Linked DNA regions of Alligator mississippiensis. The protein of the gene in region 4 purifies or fractionates together with the protein of the main gene of each other region. This does not show direct contact. Links are inferred from orthologs where the notes say so. Each region holds a gene or a part of one and is shown on either strand. Other genes may lie near its edges. The genes, in order: TNFRSF1A, CNTN2, MAP3K14 and IKBKG.

What was found.
Region 1: the proteins of IKBKG (region 4) and TNFRSF1A purify together in Homo sapiens (affinity purification with western blotting; 4 studies listed by BioGRID, with this or other methods). This does not show direct contact. The link is inferred for Alligator mississippiensis from reciprocal best matches to the Homo sapiens genes IKBKG and TNFRSF1A.
Region 2: the proteins of IKBKG (region 4) and CNTN2 purify together in Homo sapiens (affinity purification with western blotting, with the first as the bait; 3 studies listed by BioGRID). This does not show direct contact. The link is inferred for Alligator mississippiensis from reciprocal best matches to the Homo sapiens genes IKBKG and CNTN2.
Region 3: the proteins of IKBKG (region 4) and MAP3K14 purify together in Homo sapiens (affinity purification with mass spectrometry; 6 studies listed by BioGRID and IntAct, counting the BioPlex papers as one, with this or other methods). This does not show direct contact. The link is inferred for Alligator mississippiensis from reciprocal best matches to the Homo sapiens genes IKBKG and MAP3K14.

What each region holds. Positions count from the first base shown.
Region 1 is NC_081824.1:254,190,725-254,197,652, forward strand, and holds the start of TNFRSF1A (tumor necrosis factor receptor superfamily member 1A), read right to left. Parts: upstream 3,002-6,928; 5' UTR 2,840-3,001; coding exon 2,801-2,839; intron 1-2,800.
Region 2 is NC_081837.1:40,559,403-40,566,948, reverse strand, and holds the start of CNTN2 (contactin-2), read right to left. Parts: upstream 3,007-7,546; 5' UTR 2,811-3,006; intron 1-2,810. UniProt on the Homo sapiens protein: In conjunction with another transmembrane protein, CNTNAP2, contributes to the organization of axonal domains at nodes of Ranvier by maintaining voltage-gated potassium channels at the juxtaparanodal region. May be involved in cell adhesion.
Region 3 is NC_081827.1:161,165,073-161,173,000, reverse strand, and holds the start of MAP3K14 (mitogen-activated protein kinase kinase kinase 14), read right to left. Parts: upstream 3,004-7,928; 5' UTR 2,911-3,003; intron 1-2,910.
Region 4 is NC_081831.1:29,095,931-29,103,247, reverse strand, and holds the start of IKBKG (NF-kappa-B essential modulator), read right to left. Parts: upstream 3,003-7,317; 5' UTR 2,784-3,002; coding exon 2,627-2,783; intron 2,330-2,626; coding exon 2,139-2,329; intron 2,031-2,138; coding exon 1,941-2,030; intron 1,669-1,940; coding exon 1,558-1,668; intron 1,365-1,557; coding exon 1,300-1,364; intron 1,076-1,299; coding exon 1,019-1,075; intron 910-1,018; coding exon 798-909; intron 708-797; coding exon 589-707; intron 519-588; coding exon 366-518; intron 247-365; coding exon 150-246; intron 42-149; coding exon 1-41. Other genes in the region: G6PD (glucose-6-phosphate 1-dehydrogenase), read left to right, coding at 3,318-3,399, 3,814-3,941, 5,549-5,586, 5,663-5,771, 5,945-6,162, 6,614-6,772, 6,868-6,993, 7,117-7,210. UniProt on the Homo sapiens protein: Regulatory subunit of the IKK core complex which phosphorylates inhibitors of NF-kappa-B thus leading to the dissociation of the inhibitor/NF-kappa-B complex and ultimately the degradation of the inhibitor.

The DNA.
Region 1 (6,928 bases), on a different chromosome or scaffold from region 4:
GCAAAAATAAGCCTGGCGGCTCTAAAACCAGAAGGAAAAGAACCCAAATGTATTAGATTTTAAAAAATCATGGTTTTGTGGGGAAGGTCTCACTTGCAATTTTTAAATGATTGTGGCTGGTAGTAAGGCTCTCTATTTTAATAACATGTCCCCTGAGCCGGATTCCTCACAGCGCAAAACAAGTATTGCCACCAAACCCTGAATAACTGAGTACTACACAGAGGGCCATGGGTGAGTCAGAACAGAGCCGTCTCTCTGTTGAGTCAGTAGTGACCCTTATCAACCCCCACATTTACAAGGGTAGTTTATAAGAGTGGGGAGGTGCGTGGGGTCAAATTCCCAGGGAAGTGGTCCTCGCCCCTACCTTGGGCAAATTCAAGAGAAGGTTGGACAATCACCTGTCTGGGGTCTTGTGAACCCAGCATTCATTCCTGCCTGTGGCAGGGGGTCAGGCTCCATGATCTGTTCAGGTCCCTCCCAACCCTAGCTACTATGAAACTATCAAATCGCAGGAAGGAAACCCCTTAACCCTTTAGAGGTGTAAGAGGCTCCTAGCTGATCTTAGCACCTCCGGGGTTAAATGTTCAAACTTGCAACTCCCAGAAGCAAGTGCTGCCATTCCAGTAAGTCCAGCCTCCTTCCTGTTGAGTTGGGAACTCAGGAACAAACGGAAGCAGCTTAGCAGCTTGTGAAATGATCTGCTGCTGCTGTGTCAGGGATGGGGCAGAGGTGCATGGCAGCTGCTGGCTTGAGAACCTTGTGCTACAGTAACCCCTGGATTCACTTTTTTCACAAAACATTATTCAATATTTAGCCATGAAGAAGCCACTAGAGCTAAGAAATAAAACTCATCCTTTACTGACTCCTCTGAGTCACCTCACTATTGCACAGGCCTTGAAGAGTACTTCTGACACACTCCACCAAGACTCTGGTGCTCGTACACACTCCACCACCCTCACAGCAGTCCTACACCAGACCTCTCCCCCACCCACAGGCCTATGGTACTGCCTGTGGGTCTGAGAATGGTCCCATCCATAGTGGCAAGCTCCTTGAAGACTCCCAAATATAGTTTGACACCCTCTCCCTCCCTTTCTGCAAACATCCCTGAGACCACTTAACACACCTCCTACCCCAAGGTCTCTAAGTAAATGGTTTACTCTTATACAGCCACACAGGGCCAGATTCCAGACCATCATTAAACACCATTTAGGTGCCCAAGTGTAATTTTATTCTACACTGCTCAAGCTCCTGAAAAACATGAACATGGGTAACTTTGTAACACACCATTGCCTTAGACTTCAGACTAAATCTGAAAAGAGCAGCAAGAAGGAGGAGAACCCATTCACCTTTCTCTTATTTTTCAAGAACTTGAGAAGTGGAACAGCATTGCACTTTGGTGCTCAGTAGATGCAGTACTATCAGGCTAACAGGAATAAGCAGGAAGACTGGAAATGACACCAGGTGCACATGGTGGGGTAGAGGGCACTGGCTATGCTTGAAAGGGGAATGAGAGGGTGTTAGGGAGTGGTACTTGGGGGGCACTGGATACATGGGGAGGAAGAACAGGAGATACAAGAGGGAGAAATGGATAAAAGGAGACCTGAGCTGCTGCAGAACACTGGACACAAAGGAAAGGGGACTAGGCCTAAGAAGGGGTTGGGAAAAGGTACTGGATTCAGGACAATCCATGGAAGTGGAGGCACTAGAACTGTGAGCATTGACAGGAAAGTTCAGCACTGCATTTCCAGCAGAAATCAGAGACCTCAGAGCAAGTGTGTCAAAGATCAAACTTGCCAGCCAGATCGGGCCTGCGGAGCTCTATCAGCTGGGCCAGGGTGCTGCCTGTGGGTCTGAGAAAGGTCCCATCTGCCAATATGAGGAGCATGCTGGATCGGTCCCACATGCTGCATATGGCATGAGGCCAAATCTTGTGTGTGCCAGACAGGGTCCAGCATGCGTCCTGTATGAGGTGCCTGCCCTGAACCGGTCTGCAGGGCCAGTCTGTGGGCCCAATCCAGCCTGCAGACTGGCTCCACACTACTCATCCAGCCCACGGGGCCTAATGTTTGACACCCCCACCTTAAAGGGTTGTGGAGGCAAGTGGGGAACCTCAGGAAAAGCAAGCTCCCTCACTGCTGAGCAAAGTGTTCTTTCCTGTGGTGAGCAGATAAGGGAAAGCAGGATCCAGGTAAGTGACAGCACCTCAAGAAACATAGTGCAAGCCTTCAATTTCTCTTAGGTTTCCTTTTATCCAATTATCACATGGCTATATAAACAAGTTACTAACGTACACTCTAGAGCAGGGGTGGGGAATTATTTCGGCTGGTGGGCTGCTTACTGAGTTTTGGTGAGCTGTAGAGGGCTGCACGCACAAAAACTTTACAAAGATATTTTAGGTAAGGGAGCCTCTGCCCAACAAGCATGCCAGCTTGAGGACCATCACAACTCACTGCAGAGGCCAAAAAAGAGGCTCCCTCAGCAAAGGGCCCCCATGAGATGGGCAGAGGGTGACTTCCACTGAGTTACCCTTTCTACAGACAGGGAAACGGCAACACACAGACAGACAGGGCTCGAAGAAAGGGCACGGGCAGAAATACAACTCAAACAACCCTGACATCCCTTTTCCCTGTCAATCTGCCAGATACAACAGCTCCAAACACGACCCAGGAGATTTGACTCCCACCTCCTTTTCAAACCCTCCCACACCTAGCGCCATTTCCACACCTGGCACACCCCCCACCCTGGTCCCCGCAAGCTCTGATTCAGCCTTAAAGTCAGCCTCTCTCAAGCCCTCACTTACCATAATAACCAAGCCCACTGAGGGCTCCAGCGGGGCCATGCTCCTGCGATCTACGTCCCCATGGCAAAATCCCCGTGTCCTGAAAAGCCTCCCAGTCTAGAGACCCAGAAAAGGCCTCCCACTCCAACACGGGACTCACAGAAGGAGTGAGACAGATCGAAACTATCAGTGCCTGCAACTTCCTGCCAAACCAAGAGAGGCAGAAACAGGAAAGAGGGCGGGTGAAACATGGGAGGCAATATCAAACTGTACCCCTCCCCCACCATCCAATTTAACCCTACGTGTTCCACAGCACAGTGAGACAGAAATTCAGCACTTGCCCCCATTCACACTGCCCTCCCCCATGAGATAGAGACCCAGTCCCTCAGCTAAGCTTACCTCAGATCAATTCTTCCCTAGGGCATAGGGAGACCCAGGGAAGCAGCTTTTTTTTTTTTGGAGAGGGGGAGCAGAAGAGTAGAAAAAGTACCCACCCCTTTGCCTCTAGGAGAGCACAGGATTTGTTAACTCTTCCCACTCATCAAGGCTGAGAAGGACCATGAGCTAGCCCCAAAGCTGTAATCAGGAAACAATTTGAAGTGTAAGAACTCTGCACAACCAACTCTGACCTATTGCTATAAATCCCAATATGCCGGCAGATGGTGCTCTTTATATTAACGATCCACGCAGAAACTTTTTAAAAGATTCTTATTAAGGGGATCACCAGCAAGCTCTGTATTTTGGTTACTTTGCATTTTAAATGACAGAAAAAGAAGATACTACTTTTTAACAGCGCTACTACCTCAATTGTTTGCAGCAAGACTCTGGAGTTTAACAAGGGATAGTCATGGAAAATGTAGTTTCCTTGTCTCGTGAAAATCTGTTCAGATTGGGAAGAGTTATAAGCTATTGAAAGATGTCAACTGTCTCTCATGCAACTGTGGACAAAACTCCATCAACCCTTCACATCCATCAGACTGAGCGTCACCTCAGTACAGAAAAGTGCCTGGGTTTATGAGAATTAGGTTACTTCAACTCAGTGACGCAGCATTTTAAGGATGTCATGTTGTTCTCCATTATCTCAGCCTGCATTTAAAAACAAGAAGTCTTCTCCGAATTATTGGTCACGAAGGCTTTCCAAAACACTGTGAAGCAAGTACAATATATTCTAATGCACAACCTTGATCATCACCTCTGCAATGATCAAGTAGACATTAACTGTAAATGAATGGACTGTGCCATAGTAAGAAACACCAGCAGGGTTTTATGCAACTGATCCTGCTATCAGAGTTAAGGTTTGGTATTAAAGTGCAAGTTTCATGAATTTAGAGAACACTTTGAAACTTAAAGGTGGCAATAAATGCTGGGTTTTTCATTTTCTTATTCCCATCCCTTTTAAGGTTGTGTGTTAAAAACAGAGCTTTGGCTGATAATTAATTCATTACTAATTTAATAACAATCCAACTGAGTAAGCCTTGTTAATAATGGAAAATGGAGTGCTCTAAAGAAAAGTCAGTAGTGGTCTATAGGATCACAGAATGAAAAAAGTGCTCACTTGCAGATATGAAACAAACTGTAATAAAAAGTCACATTTCTCAAGATTTTCTAAGATTTGAGTCTTGCTGACCTTTTAATATATTTTAGCAATGTGGTTACATTAAAAGGGGAAACAAGAAAAAATTAACATCTATTTGCCTTGATGGTGCAAAAATGGTAGGGGTGCACCGATAAACATTTTCTTGGACAATATCGATAGCTGACTATTAACCAGCCATATCAGCTAGTACTGATCAGATAACCGATTTACAGGAATGCAGCCAGGCAGCGTGGAGAGCAGCGTTCTGCAGGTAAGTCTGTGGAGTGGAAGAGGTGTAGGAGAGAGAAGGGGCATGGGGGGCAGATCGAGGCCCTGACGGTGAGGGAGGGAGGGAGTGGGGGCAGGGGCTGGGGGCACTGCCCAGCCAGGACAGTGAATGGGACCTGGGGCCAGCGTAGGCAGCTTGTCCAGGTGATCAGCATCCTAGTGCTTAAAAATGGTGGTGGGGGTACTTGAACTAAAGCTCATAGTTTGAGTGCCACCACCACCATTTTTAAGCACGGGTACACTTCTGATGGGAGTGGAGCTGAGAAGGGCAAGGGTGGATGTAGGCTGCTCGCTGTGGGCTCAGGGCTTAATGCACTGTTGCCTTTGCCCTGGGGGCCTCGCACTGGCCGTGCATCCCCTACCCGCCTGGCAGAGAGACGCACAACTCACCACCCCCACTACTGCTGAGCGGGCAGGAGATGCATGGCCGGCACGGAGCCCCCAGCGCAAAGGCACCAGAGCAGAGAGCCCTAAGCCCACAGTGGACAGTCCGCATCCACCCCACACACAAATCTGGGGGGCACATGCCCTCCCCATGCCTCCCCCAGGGGGGTGTACACAGCAGTGGGGAGCCACCCCCATGTCCCCGTGCCCCCCGGACGAGCCACCTGTGGCTTCGTCCTGCTCCCTGCCCCAGGTCCCATTCACCCCCCTGGCTGGAGTTCCTGCCCCACTCCTCCCTCACTGTGGTAACCTCAATCTACCCCCCCCATGCCCCTTCCCCTCCACAGACTTACCCGCAGGGCACTGCTCTCCACACCGCCTGGCTGCACTCTTGGCCATGTGACTGCGCGCATGCACGTGGCATCTGGAGGCCCAATATTATATTTATTGGTGACATTATTGGCTACACTGGCCAAAAAAAGCCAATAGCCAATAATGGTAATTTTTCTTTTATCGGTGCCAATCCAATATGGCACCAATATATCGGTGCACTTCTAAAAATGGTTTAAAATAAAAAGTTAAAAGCACTTAGAATATCTCCAGGCAAGATCAACCTTACTTAATACCTGCCTTAAAAGACTGAGATGAGTAGAAATAAAAATAACGTGAAAACAGTATGATAAAAATGATAATGGAATCTCATTTGCTTGCTGTCCGTTACATTTGTAAATTCTTTGGGACAAGGATCCTGCCCTCATTTTTGCTTTAAAGCTCTCTTCTTTTGAGATTCAAAAGGTTGCATGAATTTCATTTGCTGCCCCCTTGGCTTCTCAAGGGCACACGTAGCTTCTCAAGGGCACACGAGAATCTTCTGCTTGCATCTCCCAAAACCACACAGCAGGACTGGAGAGGAAAATTTCATAGCAGCAACTCCTTGCCTGTGAACAATACGAGAGAGGAACAGGGTCTTCCCTGTACAATTATCTTTGTAGTGCAATCAGAAATCCTGTGAAGCCATTAACCAAAATACTAACTTGATCCTACCTAGACATGAGAATATTGTAAGTATGGACATGTCATATACTGAAATCTGGAGGAAAAAAAAAAAGTCTAACACTTAATTCAGGCATTTAAACCTTTCTAGACTAAGTCAAGGCACCTTTTCATTGATTTTCTTTATAGAAGGTTTGCTCACTTACTAGATAGGGGCTACTAACACTGTGCAGAAGACAAAAAGTTATCATCACTATGCATCGTATAATAATTCCTCCTTCTTCACCTCAAACTTGAGATAATTTTGCTTCTTCAGCCCCAGAGTTTCTGTAATATTGAACAGGAAAGAAAAAGCCAGGAGACTTGCTAGGCGACAGCCAGTTCTGACTTTAGAGATGGAAAAGACATGTCTAGTTTTGTTTAGCTTGTTTCCTTGTGTGAACACAGAATCAGAGAAAAGAAGGGCTGGAAGGGGCCTCTGGAGTTCACCTAGTCCTTCCACCTGCCTGACATCCCATACAAATCCTTGTCTAACCCCTTAATAAAACTATACAATCAATGCTATCTTGCAACCTAACTTACCACAAGGAAAGCAGGGGGACAATGGCGATTAGTATCCTGCTCCTGGAAGGGTTGTCAAACATGACCAAACAAAGATCATTCCCCAGGAACCAGGAACAAAACCTCAAATGTGCTTTTTAATAAAACCTATGGGGAAAAAGTCAGTCCCCAAAGGAAAAAGCCTTTGCCAGGTTTCCTCATGTCATTTCATAAGTGAATAGGTCCACTCTCATCCTCATCAAGTTTTTCAGTCTTCAGAGCTGATCAAAGTTCAGTTGAAGCCCTACAGTTCTTCATATTAGCCTCTCCACATTCCCCTTTGCTTTCCCTGTCTACGTTTTTCTGGA
Region 2 (7,546 bases), on a different chromosome or scaffold from region 4:
GTAGGTTTTCAACCCTTTCTTCTAAAGGTCTCCAGTTTGTTATAGGGCATTTGGGGAGGTGTCTTGTGACCTGTTGCGTGCGGGCTGGGACAGAGGGGTTGTTTTTACGGATCCCTCTGGGTTCAACATCTATGATACGGTGGCCTGTGATAGCTGGGCACTGGACCCAGTGACCCACGTGTTCCTTTCCAATCTTAGGCTCCTGGAGTCCAAAAGGGGAATAGAAATGAGAAAAAAAGACAGGAAGCTGAAGAAAGATGAGAGGGGAAAGAAAGCAAGGAAAAGAGGCCAACAGAAGAAGCGGAGAATGAAAAGGGAAATGAAGGAGTGAGGTTGCACTGGGCAGGGCGGGCCCAAGCACGTCCTTCGTCTGAACTAGCGGGACAAGCTCTTACACAGGGGGAACAGCTCTTCGTAACTGAGAGTGTTCCTGGGGAAACCCTCTGCTTCCTTGTGAGGCTTAAAAGAGTGCATGGCTGGAAGGAAAAGTGTTTCTGATTTTCACTAGTGCATGGGAAAAAGGGCCTTTCCTGCTTCGCTCAAGCTGAAACCACGTTGTAAGGTCCATGCAAATGTTGGGGACGCTCACGTTTTGAGTAGAACCTTTTCCCTTCCTGCCTTATTGAAAAACAATATCCTGTAGTGTTTTAGACTACTCGGTGCAAGCCCTGCTTCATCTTGTCAAATACTGCGTGCTGGATTGTCACCTCAAATGAATTTATTCAATAGACACTTCTTCAATTCCCAAAGCTCCCATTTTGTCATGCAGGTCACTATGGGGGAGATAATTTCTTTAGCACTTCAGGTATTTAGCGGCCCTATGAAAGTCATCAGAGCTTGGATTTTTGGAAAATCCCCTCCTTACGAGTTTTACTGTGCTCCTTATATATTACCCCAAACAATATAGCTTTTGATAGCAGTGTCGTTGTGTTCTTGAGTCACAGTATTAAGCACCTATTGGGTTTTGCCGGATCTGGAAAAGATCCACTTGGCCATCAGGACAGCAGCCCCAAGCTGCTGTCCGCTGAGTGGCCCTTGCGGATGCTTCCTGCTTGCGTCAGAAAAGCAGTTTCCATGTCCAAAAGGTGCACAAAGGTTAGGCTGAGTAGGGGTGGGAGCTAGCTTTTCTCTGAGCAGGGGAAGATGAGCTGAGAGTGGGATAAGGCAACACCTGTGGGCTCCTGGTTAGGGTGGTACATGGTTTGTGCAGCATAACAAGGTGCGCGGCTGTGCAATTTTCCAGGCATGTCTTTAGTGAAAAGCTCAGGACTGGGGCATAGTCGGTCCTGCCAAAGCAGCTGGCCAAATGGGAGGTTTTGCCCCTTCTGCAGCTTTTGCAGCACTTGTGCTCTTGGAAATGTATTGGGTTCAGTGTGTCTGTTATCATCTCTCTTCCCCGATACGTTCAGAGCGGTCTCCTTAGCAGCTGAACACAGCAGCGGCGCACGCCAGCGCTTGCTGAAGCCGTGCTGGTCGTTTGAACGCTGCTTGCAGCCCGTGGTGACATTTTTCAACCAAAGCTGGCCAGGCCCTATGCAGAGGGCATTGCTGGGAAGGAGTTTGCTTCCCCCCTGTCCATGTAGGCATAGAGCTGGGCCACCCAACACCTCGAAAGGATCAACTAGTGTTTGAAACAGAGGGACTTTTTTTTAACTGCCTTCCCCCCTACAAATGAACTGCTCTGAAGGCAGATAGGATCATGCAGGAGGGCAAGGGAGGGAGCAGAAAAGGGGGGGGACCCACTTGTTTTAAAAGCCAAGCTCCTGCATAGCTGTAGCAGCTAACCACTCTCGCCCACCCCTTCAGCAGTTTGAGCATCCTGGTAGAAATGGGGCAGAGAGGAGCCTCGTGCTCCTTGTGCCCATCATCTCCTGCCTGGCTCTGGCCTCCACCACTTGCCTGTGGGCCCAGCCTGGAGATTTTCACCTGTGACTTGATAACTGAGGTGACCCCTCACTGATTGTCACCGTTGCCCCAGCTTCCCCCACAACCACCTTGCACCTCCCCGACAGGCTGCAAAACCCCTTGGTGGCCTGAAACACAGTAGTCATCCTCAGCACACACGGAGCAGCCCAAACTTCTGCTCTCCACTTGAGAGCTGCAGTCCTAATTAGGAGCAGAGACAGGAGAAGCAGTTGACGGCTGCGGTGGCTCTGATCCTCTCTCCTTGCAGTGGGGAAACCAAAATCCCCATGCTCGTCTGCCTGCACCCTGCTGCCCTGGGTCTCTCCCAGCCTCGGGTGAAACCCAGCAGTGTTTGTTGTTGTAGGAGTGGGGAAGAGGCAGGCTAGCAAAACCCTCTGTATGGTAGCTACCCTTCAGCGAGAAATTTGGGGATCTCCATCACCATGAAGTGCCCCCACATCCCGTGCAACACCGTAGGCTGACAGCATGACTGAAAACCCACCGCCCCTTCACAGCTCTGCTCGTGGTTAATACCAGCATCCAGGCACTCTCGTCTTCAGCCACAAGTGAGACATTCCCGGACACCCCACCCCACCCCACGCCCAGCCCCTTTCCAGCACAGCGAGAGCTTGCAAGACAACAGCTAAAGGGACAAAACCCATCTTGCACCGCTGCCTACACCATCCCTTCCCAGTGCCAGAGGGCAGGCGGCCGGTTCCCTGAATGGTATCCCCGATGCCATGCAGCTTGTTCCCTGAATGGTACCCCCAATGCCATGTTCCTAAGGCAAGCTGAACGCTGCTGGAGGTGACTGAAAGTTAACATCGATGCTTCCTTGCCATCCAGATAGCCCTTCACTCCTATTCCCGAATTGAGGCTTGGAGAAGCAGAGGGAGACCACTTACCTGGGCCTGGATTGACACGTGCGTGTGCACGCCCGGGGCGAGCGCCTGTGCAGGGGAAAGCCTGGCGTCCTTGCTGCTGAAACAACCTTCCCGTCGCTGCCTGTCCTCCGCCTCCCCCAGGCAAGTCCTTCCCAGGCGCTGCTGCTTGCCTGTGTGTGGATGTGTGTGCGCCCAGAGCCACTGCAGCATCTCTGCATTAGGATGTGCTCCTCCCTCTCCCTCCCTCCCCTGCGCGCTCCCTCGCTCGCTGGCTTTCAACCACCACTCGGGGTCCCTGGAGAGAGGGATTTTTTTTTTTTTGTTTTTTGCTCTCTGCCTTTACCTCATTTACCACAGTCCAAGGACCAGTCAGAGAGGGAGAGCGACTTGCAGCGTCATACATAATTCATGCTCCTTCCACAGCCTGGGCTGCTGCTGCTCTCACCAGCTTCAAACACAACCACCCCCAGATTGGACTGATTCGCCTGGGGACCCACCCCATCCTTAGTGCCGAAGGATTCAAGGAGGGCATCCCTGCGGGCCTGAGCTGGGAGAGGGCGGGCCTGGGCAGGCAGGGAGGGGAACAGGAGCTCTGCACACAAGGCTTGAGCCTTGCTAAGTGCATCCCCGTTTCATGCAGGCAGTGGGACTTGCTCTCGGTGTCGTCCCGAGACACCCCGCCAAGCTAGGGGAGCCTTGATTTTTAGCAACGGCACTTAGCAGCGTGGTTGGGGTGGGCAGGGAGCTCTGCGCACATCTAAAATGAGTGTGTGGGGGGAATAATTCAGAGCCAGGTTATAGCGGGGCATTCCAGCTCAGCCCTGTTACGGAGGGAGAGCTGGTCTCTTGAGTGTGGAGCTCGTTGCAAGCTGTCGCCCAGAGTCCGCAGGGTGCTGGGATTCGGGACGGGCTCCCGAAAGGATGTAGTTGCCTATAGGGACTGGGAATCCTTGTGCCATCCAAAGCAGGTGCCCTGCGGTTCTGGTAACGAGAGTCTAGCTGACGGGCATTCTTGTAAGTTAGTTGTATCGAGGCTTGTCTCTTCCCCTGCCATCCTGGTCCTATCTGAGCACTTCCCAGGCAGGACAGGATTTGTTCACATGCTAGGATGAGGAAGTGGGGTATGACCACTGTCTGTGCTTTGATGGAGGATGGAGACATGAGGGGGCTGTGCAACTTGCCCAGGGCTGTGCAGGGAGTCTGTGGCAGAGCTGGGGGTGGCATGCCAGTCTCCTGTTTTCAGTCTGGTGCTTTCCAGCAGAAGCCCTTCCTTGTTTTTTTGTGGAGAGAAGATGAGAAGTTTATTAAGGCTCTCCGTGAAACGTGGCAGGGACGCTGACCTAATAACGGAGCGACTTTGTGACACCCTGAGGCCACCATGAGCCCAGGGTAAGGGAGAGTTAGGGACATGAAGCTTCCCAGTGACCTGTGTGCAGCTTCACTGGCTAGACTAAAACTCAGAGCCTCTTCTTCTTCCTGCTGGCAACCACAGGTACTTCTCTTCCTCTCCCAATTTGAAATGAAATGAAGCCCAACTAATCTGAGATCAATCCATGTGGATTCCCATGTACGTGTGGGTACATGAGAGGGCCTCTGGGCATGTAGTCACTACCTGCGAGTACTGAACTAAGCTATATCCTCACTTCTTTGGCAAGTTTCCTACCTGGCTGCTATAGTTCATATTCAGATACACCGCAGCTAGGGTGGCGTTTCCTACGTACCAGCAGTATGTGTGTACCCACGGACACGCACATACTGCCAATGGCTAGAGCAGAGTTAGATCTGCTTGCACCTACTCTGAGCTTGGATCGTGACTTTCCCATGCTCGTGGAGGACCCTAAAAGCCTCTGTTTCACCAGCGAGCAAGTGCTGCACAGAAAGCAAGGCAAGGCTGCCCACCTCCCTTTGTCCCCCTGGAGAGGCCACCTCCACTGCTCATCCCATCCTGCTGGGACTGCCCAAGTGGGGTCTGGTAGGTTGTATGATGAGCCTGTTTGTCCCTGGAGGACTAGCTTCAGATCCCCCTCCTCCCCAGACAGCTGCTAAATTGGCACTGTCACCACAAGGAATGTCTTAACCTTGGCTTGGCCTCCTGTGCACCCTCTATGGCTAATGAATACATCCTGTTGTTTGCTGCTCCCAGATAGGACTCTCAGTGGTGTCCACGGGACACACTAGGCGCCGATGGACGGGGTTTCGGCGCACGGCCAGCAACGGCACGAGGTGGCTAATCAAACCATGTCCTATTTGGACTCTTCGCTGCTGGGTGGGGAGTGGGACGTGAGGGTGGGCTGCAAAGACCCCCATCACTTTCTGTCCCTTCCATCTGGCCTCACGCTGACTCCAGGGTAAGCTCATCAATAATGGAAGGAGATCAATGGACATGGGCTTGGGTCTGTCCACACATTAATGGCCTGCAATTACAGAGGAGTAATTAATGCATTAGCGTCCCTGTATTGATTGGCAAGGCTCCAGAAGGCCAGATTCCTCTGGTTGGGCAGGAGCGGGAAGGAGGAAGTGTTGCTTGCAGTTGGGCTGCTTCTTTCTCATAGATGAAGCAGTCGGTGACAAAACACGTGTGCATTTGTTCTGCATCACACCCCTCCTCTCGTGTGTCTGTCTGATCTCCTGTCCTGCCAACCGCCGCAGCATTTTGGCTGATTTGCAGCTGGGAATTTCATGGGTCACCTGTATGCGCTCTGATGAGAGGTGAAACCCAGGTGTGTTTCTCTGTTCTCCGTCTCTCCCTCTAGTAGTCACTATGCTTGTGTGAGCAAGGTGGGAGGGTACTGTACTAGGACTCAGAAGATCCTGGGTTCAACTCCCAGCTTTCTTGTTAGCATGCTAAGTGACTGGCACCTGTCCATGCCTCAGTTTCCCCATCTGTAAAATGGGAGCAATGCCACCGATCTTCTTTGTAGCATGGTTTGAACAGCCCTGTAGAAGAGCTTGAGATGATTACAACAACGTCAGAGGACTATGTAGGATAGAAACTCCCTTGGCACTTTTATGGGTGTTGAACCCCTCCCTGTCCCTGCTGCAATCTGACATGGGGGTCTTACATGCCTCCTGATCTTTAAGCACCATTGGTGGATTCAAGCAGATGCAAGATCCTTCTCCCCTGGCTGTAAACCTTTGTGTGCAGGGTAGCTGTGGGCCATTGAGCAGTGTTTCATTGGCGTATCAGGTTCTGAACAAGCTTTTGTGGATCCTTCAGGCTACAGGTTGCCATTGTGCACAAGGAGGGACCCCAGAGACAGGGTGCTGACACACAGTTCTTCTGAGGGCCTAATAGAGCTGCACGTTCATCTCCACAGCAGGCAGGGAGAGACGAGCAATCTGGACTCAGTGCAAATCTCTGAATTTGGGGCATGTTGGTGGGTGGGGCTGCAGCAGTAATCTGGCACTCTCTGGTGTCTATGACCCTTGGGATATGGAGGGCCACTTGCTTTCTTTGCTTTCAGTCACTGGAAACTTTTGGGGGAGGTGTCCGTTATCCCTGTAGCTCCATGGGTAACACGGTGCATCTCAGTTGCACGGCTGACCCCCTCCAGGGCAGCCGTTGATGCCAGATGAGACTGGGACCCTGCAGTGTGGTCACCCACAGATCTTCCCCTGCAAGGAGAACAAGCACGCTTGAAGATGGACACAAAGGAGGCCTAGGGTTGTATCCCACCCAGCAGGCACAGCTCCAGGGGAAGAAGGGCTTAGCGGGATGTTGGGCTGCAAGGGACTCGCTGGCCACTGCTTCCCAGGAGAGAGGGCTGAAGGGGATGTTCACAACCAGGGTAGCCCAGATCCTCAGTTACACTGAAAGGCAGTTTGCTCCGTGCTTCCTGCAGGAGGACAAGAGCCTGGCGCTGACCCCACAAGCCCTGCAGCCCCTGAGTACCCACGCAGGCACAGCGAAGGAATTTGGCCACACACAAGGTTTCGCTGCTCAGCCATTGTGTTTTTGCTGCTGGGGACAGAACAGTGTGGCTAGATAGCAATCAGCTTCCCCACGATGCTAGCCTAACCCTCAACAAAAGGCCATTGATTACCAGGAAAGGAAGGACCAGCCTGAAGGAAATCCAGGCAGCCTGCCTGGATGCAAAGGGCATTTGAAGCAGGCAGCAAACTGCCAAGGGCAGCCAGGGAGGTGGGGGTGTTGGAGAGGAAGGGAGAGATGGAGGGTCTGTTTTCCTGGCATGGATTTCATTGCTGAGGATGGGGGGACGGAGGTGGGTGGGGAGGGGGAAAGGCTGTTGTGCACGATTTTTCTTTTCTTTCTTTCCTGTGCTGTATGCGGAGGAGGAGCGTTCATCTAGCTGTAAGCCAGACCTTCGGGGTCCAGACCAGAAGAGCCTGGGCCTGCTCCTCCTGTCTATCTAGTTTCCTGTGTTGGGCCCATTGCAGTGGTATAGGATCCCTTACTTTGCAGCGGGGGGATGTCATAATCCTCTGGATGGGTGTTTATCCTCCCATTTTAGAGCAGGTGAAGGCATTGGTACTGCAAAGGACACCACTTTCTCATCAGGCTTTTCTCTGAGTGCAGGGCAGGAAACTGGTGGGACTGTCAGGATAACGAGAGCAGCGGGGGCTGGGGGGGGGCTGTGACTCCTTCGCTATTACCTCTCTGCACAGCGGAGACTGGCCAGTAATGGGAAGTAGATGGATGCCTCCATTCCACCGAAGAGGGTGATTAAGGCAGTCTGCTGGCATCGATCCAGACCCTAGGGGTGAGAGTCGGCGGAGGTTGGAGAAGAAGTGGCTGC
Region 3 (7,928 bases), on a different chromosome or scaffold from region 4:
AGTTTTCTATACTACCCCAGCAGCCTTCAGGGCACATTAATAGATACAACAGCTTGATTCCATCCTCTCCCCACCCCCCACCCTCACCCCACCCCACCCCAAAGCACTTTTACAGGGAATTGACTCATGAATATCACTTCCCTAACTTAAAATAAAAGAGCATTTGAAGGATGCTGCCCAGTTAGGTTCTACATGAACCATGTAGCAGAACAGCTTTTTAACAATGCAATGTTGTTTGGGTAGACAGGACACAGCTATTGCCAAATATTACAAAATACTGTAAACTCCAAGGCCATTAGGCCATCTACCCTTACACTAAAATATCAAGTAACATCAGCAGGACATCAGTTTTCACTTAAATGGTTTTACTCAACTTCACACATAAGCTTCGTTTAACTATTCCCCTTCAGTCTTGTGAACCCAAACATTATTGCAGTGAGGTATGAGAACCAGAAAGTGAAACTGAACTGCTCAGTTTCACTGTTTAATCTTAGGAAATTACTATTAGTCAAATGCTAACCATTTTAAATGATGTACCATCTACAAATTCAACTTTTAGATTCATCTAGTCACTTCCAGGTTATCCATCATGTTACCAACATGCCAAAATACAAAAAGCAAGCAGTCCAACAATCTTAAGACGAAAGGACTCGCCCTCTCATGAAGCTGCTGTACAGCTTGAATCCAATGCTCTTTCCCTTCAAAATGCCTAATAATCTCAATGTTTCAAGGGTGTTGGTTGTAGCCATATTGATCTAAGGATATAGGCAGACAAGGTTCTTTGGGTAAAGCTGATATCTTGTATTAGACCAATTAAAATAGTTGGGAAAATTCTTCTTTGCAAGCTTTTGGGTACAAACATCCTTCTTCAGGCAGAGGGTAAAAGATATCACATTTACCCAAAGAACCTTGTCTGCCTAATAATCTCAATAGGCTTTGAATCATCTCCCACATGTTCCTAGAGGTTTTCATTCAGTTCCACACACACACACACACACACACACTTAAAAGGACTCCTGATGTACTATAAACATGATTTCAAGTTACCTATATTTCCGGTCACACAGTACATTTTTTTTTTTTAGAATCTTTATTTTCCCCAAAAGAAAGCTAACATTTAATATAGTTAATAACTGATGACTAATTCAAAACATATTCATTGCAAAGTCATTAGTTTTAGGCCAGCTAGATGGTGCTATGAACATTTATAGCACTTCAATGCTCAATACCTTGAATCAGGATTTTAATTCCCATCTGCAGTGTCCAACTCATAAAAAAGACCCATAAAAAGCAATCTGAAAGTTATTTATGCATGCCAATTTCATGATGCCATTTCTGATGTACACAGCAGGGTACTATGTACATATGTTTTCAGTTCAACTAATATCAAAAAGCAGCAGACAGGAAGCATCTGAGAACACCCACTGCAGTAACTTAACCAGTCCAGAAGTACTAGAACATTTTGCCAAAAATTGTTTAAAAGAAAAAGTGATATGGTCAAATGAGAACCGAGTACAAAGACAGTTTAACTGACTACAGATCTTATTCACTTTTATATTTTGATCAACTGATCCCAAGGTCTTAACTGCCTCATTCTCTCTCTCCCCACTGTAATGAATAACTTTGTAAATCTGTGCCTAGCAACACCCAATCAAAACAGCAAAGTCTGCAACTTAATCTCTTATCTGAAGTGCTTCTTTAATGCACTCTGCCTTAGACAGAAAGCAGGCAGGAAATTAGTTATTTCAAAAACCAAAAAGGAAAGTTTGCTTACTAGCAGCAAAACAACATCTAAGCTAAAAACATCTCTTTTGATCTCCTCTGACGATCTCACCAGAACAGAGAAAAAGGAAAAAAAAGCACAGCTCAGCTGAAGTAAATTCAAGGCTCCATCATCTAGGCTTAAAATACATATTAGACAAAACTTGCGGGGTCATTCAGAAGTACAACAACACATTTCCATGAAATAAATGTGACCTTGGTGCTAGAATGTAAGGAACGATCACAATCCAACACAGCACATTAAGGAAACACCTGGTGTCCACACACACACCCCTGCAAACTATTTAGAAGCCTGCCACTCTCCAGAACACTGCCTGGACCAAGCAGTCATTTTCCTAGCAGTATCCCTCAAAATGCTGCTGCTAAAAGAATTTAACTTCTGTGCAACTGGTGCAGAAAGCAGCATTCTGCAGCTTTGGATACAGTGAGCATCACCTCAAGAAAGCTTGAGATTTTATGACTCTGTGCACATATGCACACTTGTGACCACACATCTCCACACACGCACACTGGTGACCACACAAATCTACATCCACACATGACCACATGTGTGCACATGACCAGATACGTGTGTACACAAGCACACACATGTAAAGCTGCGATTGTATACGTGCACACACACACACACACACACACACACACACACAGGCATGCAAGGCTGTTCACACACGCCACCGCATGGTTGTGATTTTGTACATGTGCATATGTGGGTGTGTGCGTACACATAGGCAGAAGGTTGTGTGTATATGTGCATGTGGCATGGTGGGTGTACGACTACCACCCCACACGCTGCCGTCAGTGTGCAAGGTGCCGCTGTCCCCTGCCTTTCGCCGAGCGCGGGTGGGCCGGCCGGCCGGCCGGCCGGCAGGTGCGGCCGCGCAGGCGGCCCCCAGGGAAAGGCCGAGAGGCGCGGCGCGGTGCTCCCTCCCGCTGGGCCGGTGCCGCTGGGAGCGGCGCTGGCAGAAACTCGTGTCCCCCACGCGGCGGGGCCGCCGGATGTGTTCGGTGAGGAACCCGGCACCTCGTCCGCCGCCGGTCCCCGGCTCCCGGCGGGGGGATGGAGGTCAGACGTGAGGGGGTCCGACGCCCCGACCCCGGTCCCGACCCCAGCCCCCCGGCCGCACCCACCTGCCGCTCCGCTCCGGCCCGCGCCGCTCCCCGTCCTCCGACACTCTGAGGCGCCCAGGCCGGCCGGGCAGCACACACCCCGGCCCCCGCCAACCAATGGGCGCACGCCGCAAGCCACGGCAGCGAGGAGACCCCACCCCTGTATCCCTAGCCCTTCCAAGCCAGCAACCAATCAGCGCACCTTTCCCGGCCAGCAGCGCTCGCAACTGTCTGAAGACAGAACCACCGCCCGCCCACCGCCTCTTCTCTCTCCGATGATTGGCCGAGAAGCGCCTCTGTTTTCCCAGAAGTGGGCGAGGCTTTCTGCAAACCCTTTTCTTTCCCCCTTCCCCCGGAGCTGGGTGGGTGTTACCAAACTTGTTGTATTGTGCATGCGCGGCGTGACCGGGCTGCTTAAGGGGTGCCAGTCCGTACGCTCGGATGCTCCTCATCCCCGGGTCTAGGGTTGGCGCATACGCAGTGTGGGGCTGCCCGTTCCACGGCTGTTGGGTGATCCCAGCCCTTTCCCGCCACAGGCGCCCGGACCTTCCGGCCTCGAGCGCGGCTCGCAGTGGCAGCTGGACGCGCAGCCAACGCCCGCGCAGTTCCTGCCTCGCCCCTGCTGTGGGGGATGTGGCCTCTGGTGCCCCGGAACCTGCCCTGGGCCGTGCACGCAGGGCAGCCCCCCGCTTCCCTGTCCTGCTCCCACCTCCTCAGCAAATATCAGCAACACCCGACTGGGGCTCCCCAGTGGCTTTTCTCCTCCGCAAAGCCAAGGGAAGGCAAGTGCAAGGCAGAGGATTTTATTATTATTATTATTATTATTAATAATATATTTCTTGTTCCAGGTCAGATCAAAGAAACCAGTCCCAAATCATGTATCGCTCCAAAAACCGTATTGACTGAGCAGGCAGAACTCAGTTGTTCTCCACCCCATGCAGGGCGCTACAACCTGCCAGCATCCTCCATCCCAGCCTCTCACCCTGGGAATTCAGATACTCCCAAATCCATTGGCAGGCATCCTCCATGCATGCCCAAGCCCAGAGGTCTTGGGATTCGGGTGCCCCCACTTGATCCTGGCCCACAAGAACCTGAGATCTGAGCCAAAAGGCATAGAAGAAAAACCGCAACCTGACTCCCAGGTCCCCAAACAGGCACTCCCATCACAGGGCTCCCACTCCACTCCCCATCTTGATCCTGCTGATTCCCCTTCAACGCCTCTGTTTTTTCTTCATAAAGAGCACCAATGCTTTTTCCCCACCAGGCACTCTTTGCATGACTTGAGCCTCTCCTCCCACGCCCAAGCTCACTTCCAGGGCGATGATGCGGCATTGTTGGCTGTTTCCCAAGTCTGAAGCCTTGTTAGTAGTCTCTGCCTAACATGGGCTATTAGTTTCTCCCTCCTGCTCTAAAGCCACTGGAAAGGGACATGGAAAAAGGCTGTGTTTATGCTCATTTTTCCCCCCCTGCCACCCTTCTGGTTTAGCTGAAAAAGCACTACAAAGTTTACCAGGGAAGATTAAAGCTCTAAACATTAATCAACTATGCCCTGAACACTTGGTCTGGGCTCCCATGGTATTGTTGGATCCATAGAAGTTTTGTTCTTCCTGCTTTCCTCCCTGCTTCCAGTTTTCAGGCTGAATTCAAAACTCTTAATTTGGCATATGAAAACCTAGGGACTGCAAACAACATTTAATTTAGTGAAATTAGTCCATACAAAAAGGCAGAGAAAGCAGATCTCTGTGGAAGGTATTAGTTCTGACATCCACAAATTATTCTTTACAAGTTCTGTTGGAATTATGAATTGAGGCTTCCACCCATCTGTGGACCAACATCTACAATTTTCTCTCAGTCCTTAACTCTTGCCAACTTGTGTTGACTTCACTACATAGTTTCTTTCCCTAATGCTCTGCCATTTCTCCACTAATTTTAAATGTAGTTGGTGTCATTTTAAAAGACAGCAGCCTATAGATATATAAATAGATCTTTTTGAATTCAGAATTGGTTTCAGAATTAGTGGCCAAATATATCCTCAAACAGCTGTATTCCATTTTGTGAAAGGCTTATAATTGGCTGTGGTGAGTACAATACTGCCATCTACTGTAAGTAATGTCAGATTTATACACCTTAATCCTTTTCCAAGTAAATTATCCTTAAACTGATGTGCTTGAAATGCGTGTGAACAAGCAGGATCCAAGTTCCCCCTCTTTATATTAGCCTACGAAGTCTTATGGTGGCCATTGCTCAGTTACAATCCTACCAGTCAAGAGCCAGCTGCTTATAGGGCAGCATACAGGCAGAAACATACAGGGAAAAGGTAATGGAAGATCTCTGTTGTTAAATTTCCACCAACATTACTTTAGGAAATGTACATGTATCACCTAGGGATTTTCTGAACTACCACAAACTAAGGCAGTCAAAGGGAGGAAAAAAAATGAAAGGTGGTGGCACACAAATGCCGCTTCCATGTGGGGTGTACTTGAGATGCTCAGATGGATGGTTGTGCTTTCATGAAGAGAGAGATTAAGCTTTTGAACAGCATGAGTTAGTAATACATTTAAAATCCTCTTGCTGATTCTCCCTATTAAGGACAGACAAAGAGTTAATATACTTTTCAGCTTCTAGATTACATAGACAAATACACTTATTCACAGTTGTGATAGCAGAGATAAGTCAGTCTCCGCAATTTCCTGTTCTCAGATTGGGCTAAGAAATGCTTAACTTGAAAAAAACTCTGAGGGTAAGGAGAAATTAGGCCCCCAATACGCCCTGGCCACCTGTTTCCACCTCTTTGATTGGCTGAAGACGGATTCACTGCGACTTGTGTAGAAGTAGATGACATGCTTTGTGCCCTGGAGGAAGATGACTCATTAACAGCTTGCAGCAAGAAGGTTTCATATGAAAAAAACCAAGCAAGTTACTCTGACCAATCTTGAAACTTCAGCAGTAACCGGATCCTGTTTTTCTGGCTGAAGGTGCACAATTACTTCCCTCTACCTTGGGCATATATTGACTGAACGTTGTTATGCGCACAGACCTCTCTCTTCTACTCATAGTCTTGTCACACTGGCTATTTTTTTTTTTTTTAGTTCTTTGGTCTTACCAGTATGAGGAATCCTACATGGATGGAGCTACACAGAACTACCAAATAACATTATGACAACCTGAGGTTGCACAATAATATGGTGACATTGGATTATCATAGTCCATCATCGCAAATTATACTTTGTAGTCAGCAGGTTCTTCCTTGACTACTTAGATGTAATCTGCACTACAAGGTTTTGCCATCAGATTTCCAGTTCTGCCCACAAAAATTTGAGTTCATACCTAAAATTCATGGGTGGTGAGAGAAGCCTCTGAAAAGGCCACAAATAATCAGGATCTTTTTACTCTTATTTAGTACAGGAGAAATAGTCTTGTATCTAAATTATGCGACTGGGATCCTTGACTCCTTTTTTTCCCCCCCAACCCTGGTCCGATCAGCTTCTTTGTTGGACATCTCAGTGGAAAGTTTCAGGGTTGCACAGATAGGAATCCTGCCTGTCTATCTCCCTCTTCTGAATTCTTCCCTTATTTTTACTATAAAGAACAGTCACAGGGTTAGAACATCAAGGAAGTAAAAGAGAGGCATATTGGACTGTAATGCCCAACTCTTACCCTTACAGAGGCCTATATATTAAAAGGAAGAATTTCAGCCTCACTTAATTGGCCTTAAAGCCCCAGATCCTTATGTCACATGTCAGTTTTTTAAAATGATAGTTAAATTATCTAGTTCTTATGGTTGTAAAGAAAATATTGAAAATGTTAGTGAACACAATGTTAGTGTACACGATGTAGTAACAAAAGCATAGCATTCCTGACCCCTCTCCTTAGACATATTCAAAGTAAATATTGAGGGTCCCTATTGTTACCATACCAGTTCTCCCTTCATTGACACTGTCCTTACTGGGCACATCTACACATGCGGTTAATGCATTTGAATTTTCTGCACAGAAGATTCAGGTTCATTAAAGTGCTCCAGGGTGCATGTCTACACGTGCACACAGTGTCGGGAGCAAAATTGCTCTCAATAGGAGCATTTGAGTCCAGGGCTACTCCTGCCCTGCTCTGCCCCTCTGCAGGAGCTGGGTAGGGGAGGCTCCAGCCTCCCCTGGCACCAGCCCCAGGCTGCTGGGGGTCAGGCCTGGGTTCTGGAGAGTGAGGGGGAGGGCTGTCCTGGAGCGAAGGACAGCTCCAGCTGTGTGGAACTCAGGATCACAGTTCAATGGTGCTGGCTTGGGGTGATGCCCATACCTGAGCATGGGCTTAAGCAGCACTAGAACTGGGGTGGGGGGACATTGAAGGTGCTGTGGCCATCTTTTCTGTTGTCCTTCATGCTACCCCGACAGCTGGCATCTTCCTTTTCTGGGCGGACTGCAAAGCTGGACCACAGTGGCAGTGAGGTAGGGAACCAGCATTTTATTTTTATTATTTTTTTGTTGTTGTTGACTTCACAGACAATCCCAGACTTTGCAGTTTCTGCAAAATCCATGAAACCAGAATTTCAGTAGGCCCTACTCATAAGTCATGCTTCCCAGGCTTCTAACCATTTTTGTCACTCTCTGCTACAGTCCTTCAGATCTGCCCACATTCTTCTTGAAGTGTGGGGCCCCAACCCTGGACACAGTACTCCAGTTAGTCTGCAAGGTATATCTCTACCCTGCCTTCCGCCTGACTTCAGACTAATATCTATGGCTTGCATCCATAGATGCTTCTCAAGCAAATCCCAGGACGTCATTCTCCCCTTGTACTCGGCCTTGGTGAGGCCGCAGCTGAAGTACTGCGTCCAGTTTTGGGCTCCACAATTCAAAAAGGATGTGGAGAAGCTTGAGAGAGTCCAGAGAAGAGCCACGCGCATGATCAGAGGTCAGGGAAGCAGACCCTATGATGACAGGCTGAGAGCCCTGGGGCTCTTTAGCCTGGAAAAGCGCAGGCTCAGGGGTGATCTGATGGCCACCTATAAGTTTATCAGGGGTGACCACCAGTATCTGGGGGAACGT
Region 4 (7,317 bases):
TGCAGCTGCTGCGACAGCTCATCCAACTGCCACTCTAAGGCCTAGATAGGTACATGTGGTCTATGCTGCTGTCCCCTACCACCCTGGTGATGCAGCCCCAAGGCCAGGAGGATGACCCACAAACACGCGTGCCCCTGCTGGGGACCCACCTGGGCCCTCTTCTCGCCCTCTATGCTGTTCTTGATGTGGCTGTCATATTCCTGGAAGAGCTGGTGATAGGCCACCTGCAGCTGTGCCAGCTTCCGTCTGCAACAAGCAGACCATGGGGGTGTTAAAGGCAGCAGGTTGGACCTTTTCCACCAGCTCCAGCTCTGCCACCCCCAGCAGGTCCTCCTGGCATCCTTCCCACCTACCCCCCGCCTCACTTCTCCTCCGTGGCGCCCTGCCGCTCCACACGCAATGCTGTCTCCAAATTCTGGGCCTGTAGCCGCAGCTGGTCCAGCTGCACCCCATGCTGCTCCTGCAGAGCCTCCACGTCCCCCTCCAGCCGTCGGCACTGTTCCACAGCTGTCCGTGCCCTGCAAGGAGGCAGGGTATGAGCCAGTGCCCAGCCTTGGAGGTACCCTACACCCCCTTCGACACACTCACCGCTCTGCCAGTGCCTGCTTCTCATGCATGCAGGTCTCCAGCCGGCTCTGGCTCTCTTGCAGCTCACCCAGCAGTGAGGTCACCTGGGCCTTCACCGAGACCCTGTCTTCTGTCACCTGCTGTGGGGAGCAGCTGAGGCTGCATCAGCCCCAGCCTGCAGAGGCCCAGCTTGGATGCCCCTGCCCCAAGGGTGAGAGGGTAGTACTCACCTCCAGCTGCTTTCTTAGGGCCTGGAACTGCTGCTCTGTCTCCTGCCCCTGTGCTTTCAGTTGGCTCAGGTCCTCCCTGGCTGATGCCAGCTGCTGCTTCAGCTCAGCACACCTGGGGAAAGGGGGGGGGGGGGTGATAGTGACTGGTACAGTGCACCCATACTGCCTACCCCCCTTCCCCCAGGGATTCCATGGCACCCCCTGGGCTCCACTCAACACACTTGTTTTCAGTTTCCTCTAGCTTCCTGTGCAGCTCCTCAGCCTGGTCATCTCTGATCCTGGATTTGGGGTGGGGGGGGCAAGACAAAAGGGTGAGGAGCCCCCAGAGGGGGTTGCCTGCTTCACAGACACAGCCATCCTGCCCCCAACCCCTGTGCCTTTTCCCAAAAGGAGGCAACTGAGTGATCCAGGATCATCCCTCATCTTTGGGGAGTGGAAGGAGCATGGTGGGGCACCTGCAGGCTTCTTCCAGCCCCCCACTCAACACATGCATGGTTCTTACCTGTTGTTCCCAGCCCCTTGCAAGGATTCAGTCTTCAGGAGCTGCTCAGCTAGGGTACCGCTCTCCTGAACACACCAGAAACTGTTCAGCGCTGGCCCCAACCCCCATCACCAGCTCAACTGCCTGCCCTCCCCCCCCAGGAACAGGTGTCATGTCCTGCCACAAGGGGCCACGCTGCCTCCCTCAGTGGCCCCATCTCAGCTCACGGAGACAGGAGTCAGCCCAGATGCCTCCAGACCGCACCTCCAATACCCTCACCTTGACCAGCAGCCTCTGCTGCTGGGTCTGGTTATGCAGTGGCTTCTCTCCCAACAGGAGAGTGTCTGCTTCCTTCAGCACTGCCTGGTTCTCCTTGCTACGGTCAAGAGCCTGGGGGAGAGGGGAAGCAGGGTGGCAGGCAGGGGATGAAGGCCAGACATGTGTGCACCCCTGCAGTGGCTGCCTGTGTTCCCTCCAGCATCTTCTGCTGGGAGACAATAGGCCTAGCCAACCCCTCCCCTCCTCCCAAGCCCCCCCAGCCAGATCCCTTCCCCCTCAGCTGTTTAGGGGGATATGGAGCAAAGTTAAGATGGAGACAAACACGGGCACAGCAACCCAGACATCTAGGCTCATGCAGAACCTCTGGCCCCAGAAGCACTCACCATCAGCGCTACAGGCGTCTCATGGGTGAGAGTCACGGTGTCAGCCTCATCCAGCCCAGCTGGCTCCAGGGTGCATAGCAAGGATGGAGGCTGGGGGGGAGAATGAGACAGTGTCTCGGAGACCTTCTCCACGTGCCCCCAAGGAAGAGGGTGAGTGGGAGTGAGGGAGACCCACAGCATGACCCAGACCCCCAGTACCTGGCAGGCGCTGCGCAACCACTCAAGCTGTCGCCGCACCTCCAGCTGTTCATTCTGCAGCTGCTGCACCAGGGTGCGGGCCTCATGGAAGCGCAGCAGAAGGAAGTCACGCTCCTCACGCCGCATGGCCTGAACTTGCTGGAACTCCTGGCATCGCAGCCGTAGCGCTTGGTTGCCCTGCCGCAGAGCCTCTGCCAAGCCACGGGGGGAGCACAGAGGTGTCAGGACCCAGCCACACCCTCCCTGGAGCACCCTTCACCGGCCCCCAGCGCCACACTTTCACCAGCCCCAGATTGGGGAGGGGGGTTGCCGCTGCCCAAAGGCACTGTGGACTGCGTGCTCCTTGCCTGCTGAGGCCTCTTCAGGGGCACCGGGGAGGCCAGGCCGAGGCCGGAGCCTGGGCCCAGCCCAGGAAACAGCCGACGGCCGGGAGAGCCAGGTCGCGAGGGTGGACAGAGAATCCCCAGCCGAGCTCCCAACCCCCTTACCCTTGAGGTCCTGGTTCTCCGCGGCCAGGCGCTGCCAGGCCTCGGGGTCCGGCGCCTGGGGCAGGGCGTTGGCGTCAGCATCACCCGCGGGGCCGGCCCCATCACCGCCCCCGGGCGCCACCATGTCCGCGCTGCGCCGCCGGCGGGTCCCGCTCATCCAGCCCCGACGGGCCCCTTTGGGCGGAGGCGTGGGGGGGACGCCTCAGTTCGCTTGTTCTGGAATCAGGGCCCCGGACGTCTGGGTCCCACCCCTGTGGCGGGGCTCGGACGCTCAGGCCCCACCTCCAGGTGGGGGGAGGTCTGCCGCGATACCTGGCCGCTCTTGCGCCACTCCCGGCCCCGCGCCGTACTTCCTCCTTCCGGTCTCGGTGTTTTGTTTACCCCGGAAGTGTTACTAAGACGACCCGGAGCCGGAAGGAAGTTGGGAAGGGGCGTCGGGAGTTCAATGCACCATAGTCGGGAACTTCCGCCTCGGTATCTGTCATGGTGGTGCAGAGCGTGAGGCTGTGATGTCAGAGGCTTTGTGACAGCTCTCCCCGCGCCTCCCTTCCCTAATCTGGACGCTAGGTGGCCTAGCCCGGGAGAGCGGGGTTCAGTCGCGGGGCGAGCCAACCGATCGGCTTCGTCGCTGATTGGCTGGAGCGGAGAGGCAGGTCCGCGCTGGCTGCGAGGCGTGGCCGCAGCCTTGGCAATGGGGAGCCGCGAGCGGCGCCGCGACCCTGATACCGGCCACGGTCTGGATTCTTCTACGACTCCGACTCCGCAGCGGGCAGGTAGCAGCGGGTGCATGGTCCCCTCCCGCGGGGCGGGGCGGGGCTTGGGCACCTGGTCCCTTTCCCGGGGGACGGGGGATCCCGGACACGTGGGCCCTGTGGTGATGGCCCCTGCCCGAGTACCGTTGCGCTGGGGCTTCTCCGCTCCCTCCTGCCCCAGCCGAGCCCGCCCGCCACTTCCTCCTTTCCTGCCCCCCTTCCCCTTCTGCTTCCCCTTTCCCCTTCTGCCCCACCCCCACTTCCCTTTTCCCCTCTGCGCGGCCCAGCCCTTCCCTTCTCTTCTCTAGCCCGGGCCTGTTGCAACAGGTGGGACCTACCTGGTTGGCCCGGCCGGGCCAGGCCAGGTGCCCCACCCCCGGCGCGTGGGCATGGGCCAGGCTGTCCCTGCTACACACCCCATTTCTTGCCCATCAGACCACACCATGGCCAAGCCACAGGAGCTCAGCCGCTCACAGGTGTGCGGGATGCTACGCCAGGAGCTGTGCCAGGGGCAGGACTTCCACCCCACTGATGCACATGTCTTTGTCATCCTTGGTGCCTCTGTGAGTAGTTCCCCTGTTGCCCCTGTCCACTGCTAGGGCCCCAAGCCCAGGAATGGTGTTGGGGTCAGGGCCTGGAAGCAGCCCCCGAGCTTAGGGCCCTGGAGCATGGCAGGGGCATCTCCATGGGGCCGTGCCCCTGCCCTCCCCCTGCATACCACCAGCCCCAGATGTGTGTGCCTGCCCCCTCCAAATACTACTAACTTCTGGCCCGGTCTCCTGCCCCCAGCACCCTCTGCCCCATGGCCAGAACAGTGCTCTTCTTTCCCTGGGGGGTTCCCACTGTCTCCCAAGAGCCTCTCCCTGTTGAGGGGGGTTGGGAGGAGTGACAACCTCCTCTGCTTCTATACTGCTTATTTGTGCACACAAGGAACTCAGGTATCCAGGATGCAAACCAGTTCTCCCTCTCTGCTGTGCCACGCTGGGGGCTGGGAGTGAGGTTGTGACCCTGGGAGGGTAGCTCCTAGCACCTGGGTCCACATATCCACATAAGAGAAATAACCAGGCACTCCCTAGGGGACCCAGGCTTTCAAGGGCTGGAGCCAGGCATGATGCAGCCCTGGGGTGGTGGAGATGGCCTGACCCCTTCTCCCTCCCACCAGCCTCGCAGGCTGGTGCTTTCAAACCCATTGCCCTGAGGTCACCCTCCCACCCTAGGGGAGCTGGTGCCTCCCACCTATGCCATCTGTGCCTCATGCTGCTGCTCCAAGCGTGGCCCCAGCAGGAGATTTTGGGTGGGTGGAGGTGGGGAGCGGACAGAGGGTACCCTGAGCACCCATTGCTGGGGGTGTCAGGGGAGCCTGGCTCTGCTAAGTCACCGTGAGTGCAGTCCTTGTGTCCCAGCCTGCCCCAATTAGCATGGGCCATGGAGCAACACACACACACCCCCTCTCCGTGGAAGCTACATACAGCTTCAGGGGCAGGGGATATTGGGAGAGGGTCTAGGACATACTGAGCCCTCCTTCCTGAGCCAGGATTGGGACCAGAGAAGCCTGGGGGCTGGGCAGTCAGCCAGCCAGTGCCCTGGGTAGGGGGAGGTTCTCCCTTGCCTTGAAGTGGGGAAATGGAGGCAGCCCTGGAGCTGGGCCTTGGGACCCTCCTCCCCCACCCCAGGCAGGTTTGGTGAGCTGTTGAGTGTTTGTGGTAGATAAAGGGCAGATAAAGGAGGTGCCAACACCCAGTGAGTCTCTGGCTGCCAGGGGATGCCTGGCTTCTTGCCAGCACCACCCCCCCATGCTTGCCTTTTGTCCAGGGCCCAGCCCCCTTGACTCAGCAGATTCCCATTGCTTAGCAATCCCAAATCTACCCCTTCCCTGCCCCTGGGCAGGCACAGCCTGGCATCAGTCCCAGTCCTATTGGGTGGCGTGAGAAGGCCGGCCACTGTGGGCGGGGGTAAGCTGCCCTGACCTAGATAGAGGCACAAAAGTCTCACAACAATGGGGCCAACAACAGTGCTGTGTCAGGAGAGGGGAGCAGGGTACAGCCCTTGGGAAAGGGACTGGGTTGGAGGGATCCTGGGCTGTGCCCCATTGTGATACCCCCCCCCCCCCCCCCCGCTTTTCTCTCTCTCTCTCTCTCTCTCTCTCTCTCTCTCTCTCTCTGTCCCCAAGGGCGACCTGGCCAAGAAAAAGATTTACCCAACAGTCTGGTAAGTGCCGATCCCTGCCCCCCATCCCTCTCCCAGCATTCCCACAGCCCTAATACACTGCCCCCTTCTACCACAGGTGGCTATTCCGTGACGGACTTCTGCCTGATGACACCTACGTTGTTGGCTTTGCCCGCTCTCAGCTCACCGTGGCTGACATCCAGCGTCAGAGCGAGCCCTACCTCAAGGTGGGCAAGCCCTACCTCTGTTCCTGCCCCAGAGCTGGGGTCTTGAGGGGGTGGATCCTGCAGCAGGGTGTTGGAGGTGGGAAGCTGTTTTGGGGTCCTCCCATGCCCTGGGGCTGGGCTCGTGTGTTGGGGTCTGGGTTCCTCTAGTGACAGGGCTTCTCCCCATGTGACAGGTGGTGCCAGAGGAGCGGGAGAAGCTGGAGGCCTTCTTCGCCCGCAACAGCTATGTGTCAGGGCGCTATGATGAGCCCGCAGCCTTTGCCCACCTGGACGCCCACCTGCGCAGCTTGCCCAAGGGCAGCCAGGCCAACCGGCTCTTCTACCTGGCCCTGCCCCCCAGTGTCTATGAGGATGTCACCCACCACATCAAGGAGGCCTGCATGGGCCAGGGGTGAGGTCGGGGGGCAGCAGGCCTGTGTGTGGCAGGCATGAGGTGCTGGGGGCTGAATGAGGGGGTGGAGGCAGGCCTGTGTGGAGTGTGGGCTGGGGAATGATATGGAAGGGGTCTATGTGGGGTAGGGGCAAGGGGTCAGAGGGCACAGGGCTGGTAGTGAGGGGCTGGGGACTGAATGGGGCAGGCCTGCATGGACCAGGGGTAAGGGGGTGGTGGCTGATGGGGAGGCAAATCTGTGTGGGGCAGGGGTGAGGAGCTGGGGAGCAGAGGTGGGGGTCAGAGGCCATGGAGCTGGAGGATGAATGGAGGGTGTGTATGAGCCAGGGGTGAGGAGCCTTACGGGGGTGGGGCTGGCAGGAAATCACAGGGCGGGGAGATGGGTGGCAGGGTTCAGGGCCAGCCCAGGCTGCAACCACACGTAACATGCCCCCTCCACCCCCTTCTCTAGGAGTTGGACACGGGTAATTGTGGAGAAGCCATTCGGCAAAGACCTAGCAAGCTCAGACAAGCTGTCAAACCACATCGCGGGGCTCTTCCGTGAGGACCAAATCTACCGCATCGACCACTATCTGGGCAAGGAGATGGTGCAGAATCTCATGGTGCTCAGGTCAGCACAGGGGAGGCCAGTCCTTGGCTGTGGGGACATGAGACCCCAACCCCTCCTATAGCCCTTCACGCACCCTGTGCTTTCCTCCTGGGCAGGTTTGGGAACCGGATCTTCGGGCCCATCTGGAATCGGGACAATGTGGCCTGTGTCATCCTGACCTTCAAGGAGCCCTTTGGCACAGAGGGCCGTGGCGGCTACTTTGATGAGTTCGGCATCATCCGGTAAGCCAGGGCAGGGCACTCAGAGCAAGGTGGGATGGTTGGGGGCCATGTTCTTAAGGCAGAGGGAAGGGCTGTGGAACTGGCACTGACCCCCCTCCCTTCCCCCCATCTCCCACCCGGAAGCGATGTGATGCAGAACCACCTGCTGCAGATGCTCTGCCTTGTGGCCATGGAAAAACCAGCTTCCACCCACCCTGATGACGTGCGGGATGAGAAGGTGGGCACCAGGATGTCTGGGGGGCTCCAAGCCTGGCCTGACCCTGGGGGGATCTATCACATGCGGTGGGGGGGGATCCGTTCTGACCCCACAGGGGAGCCAACAAA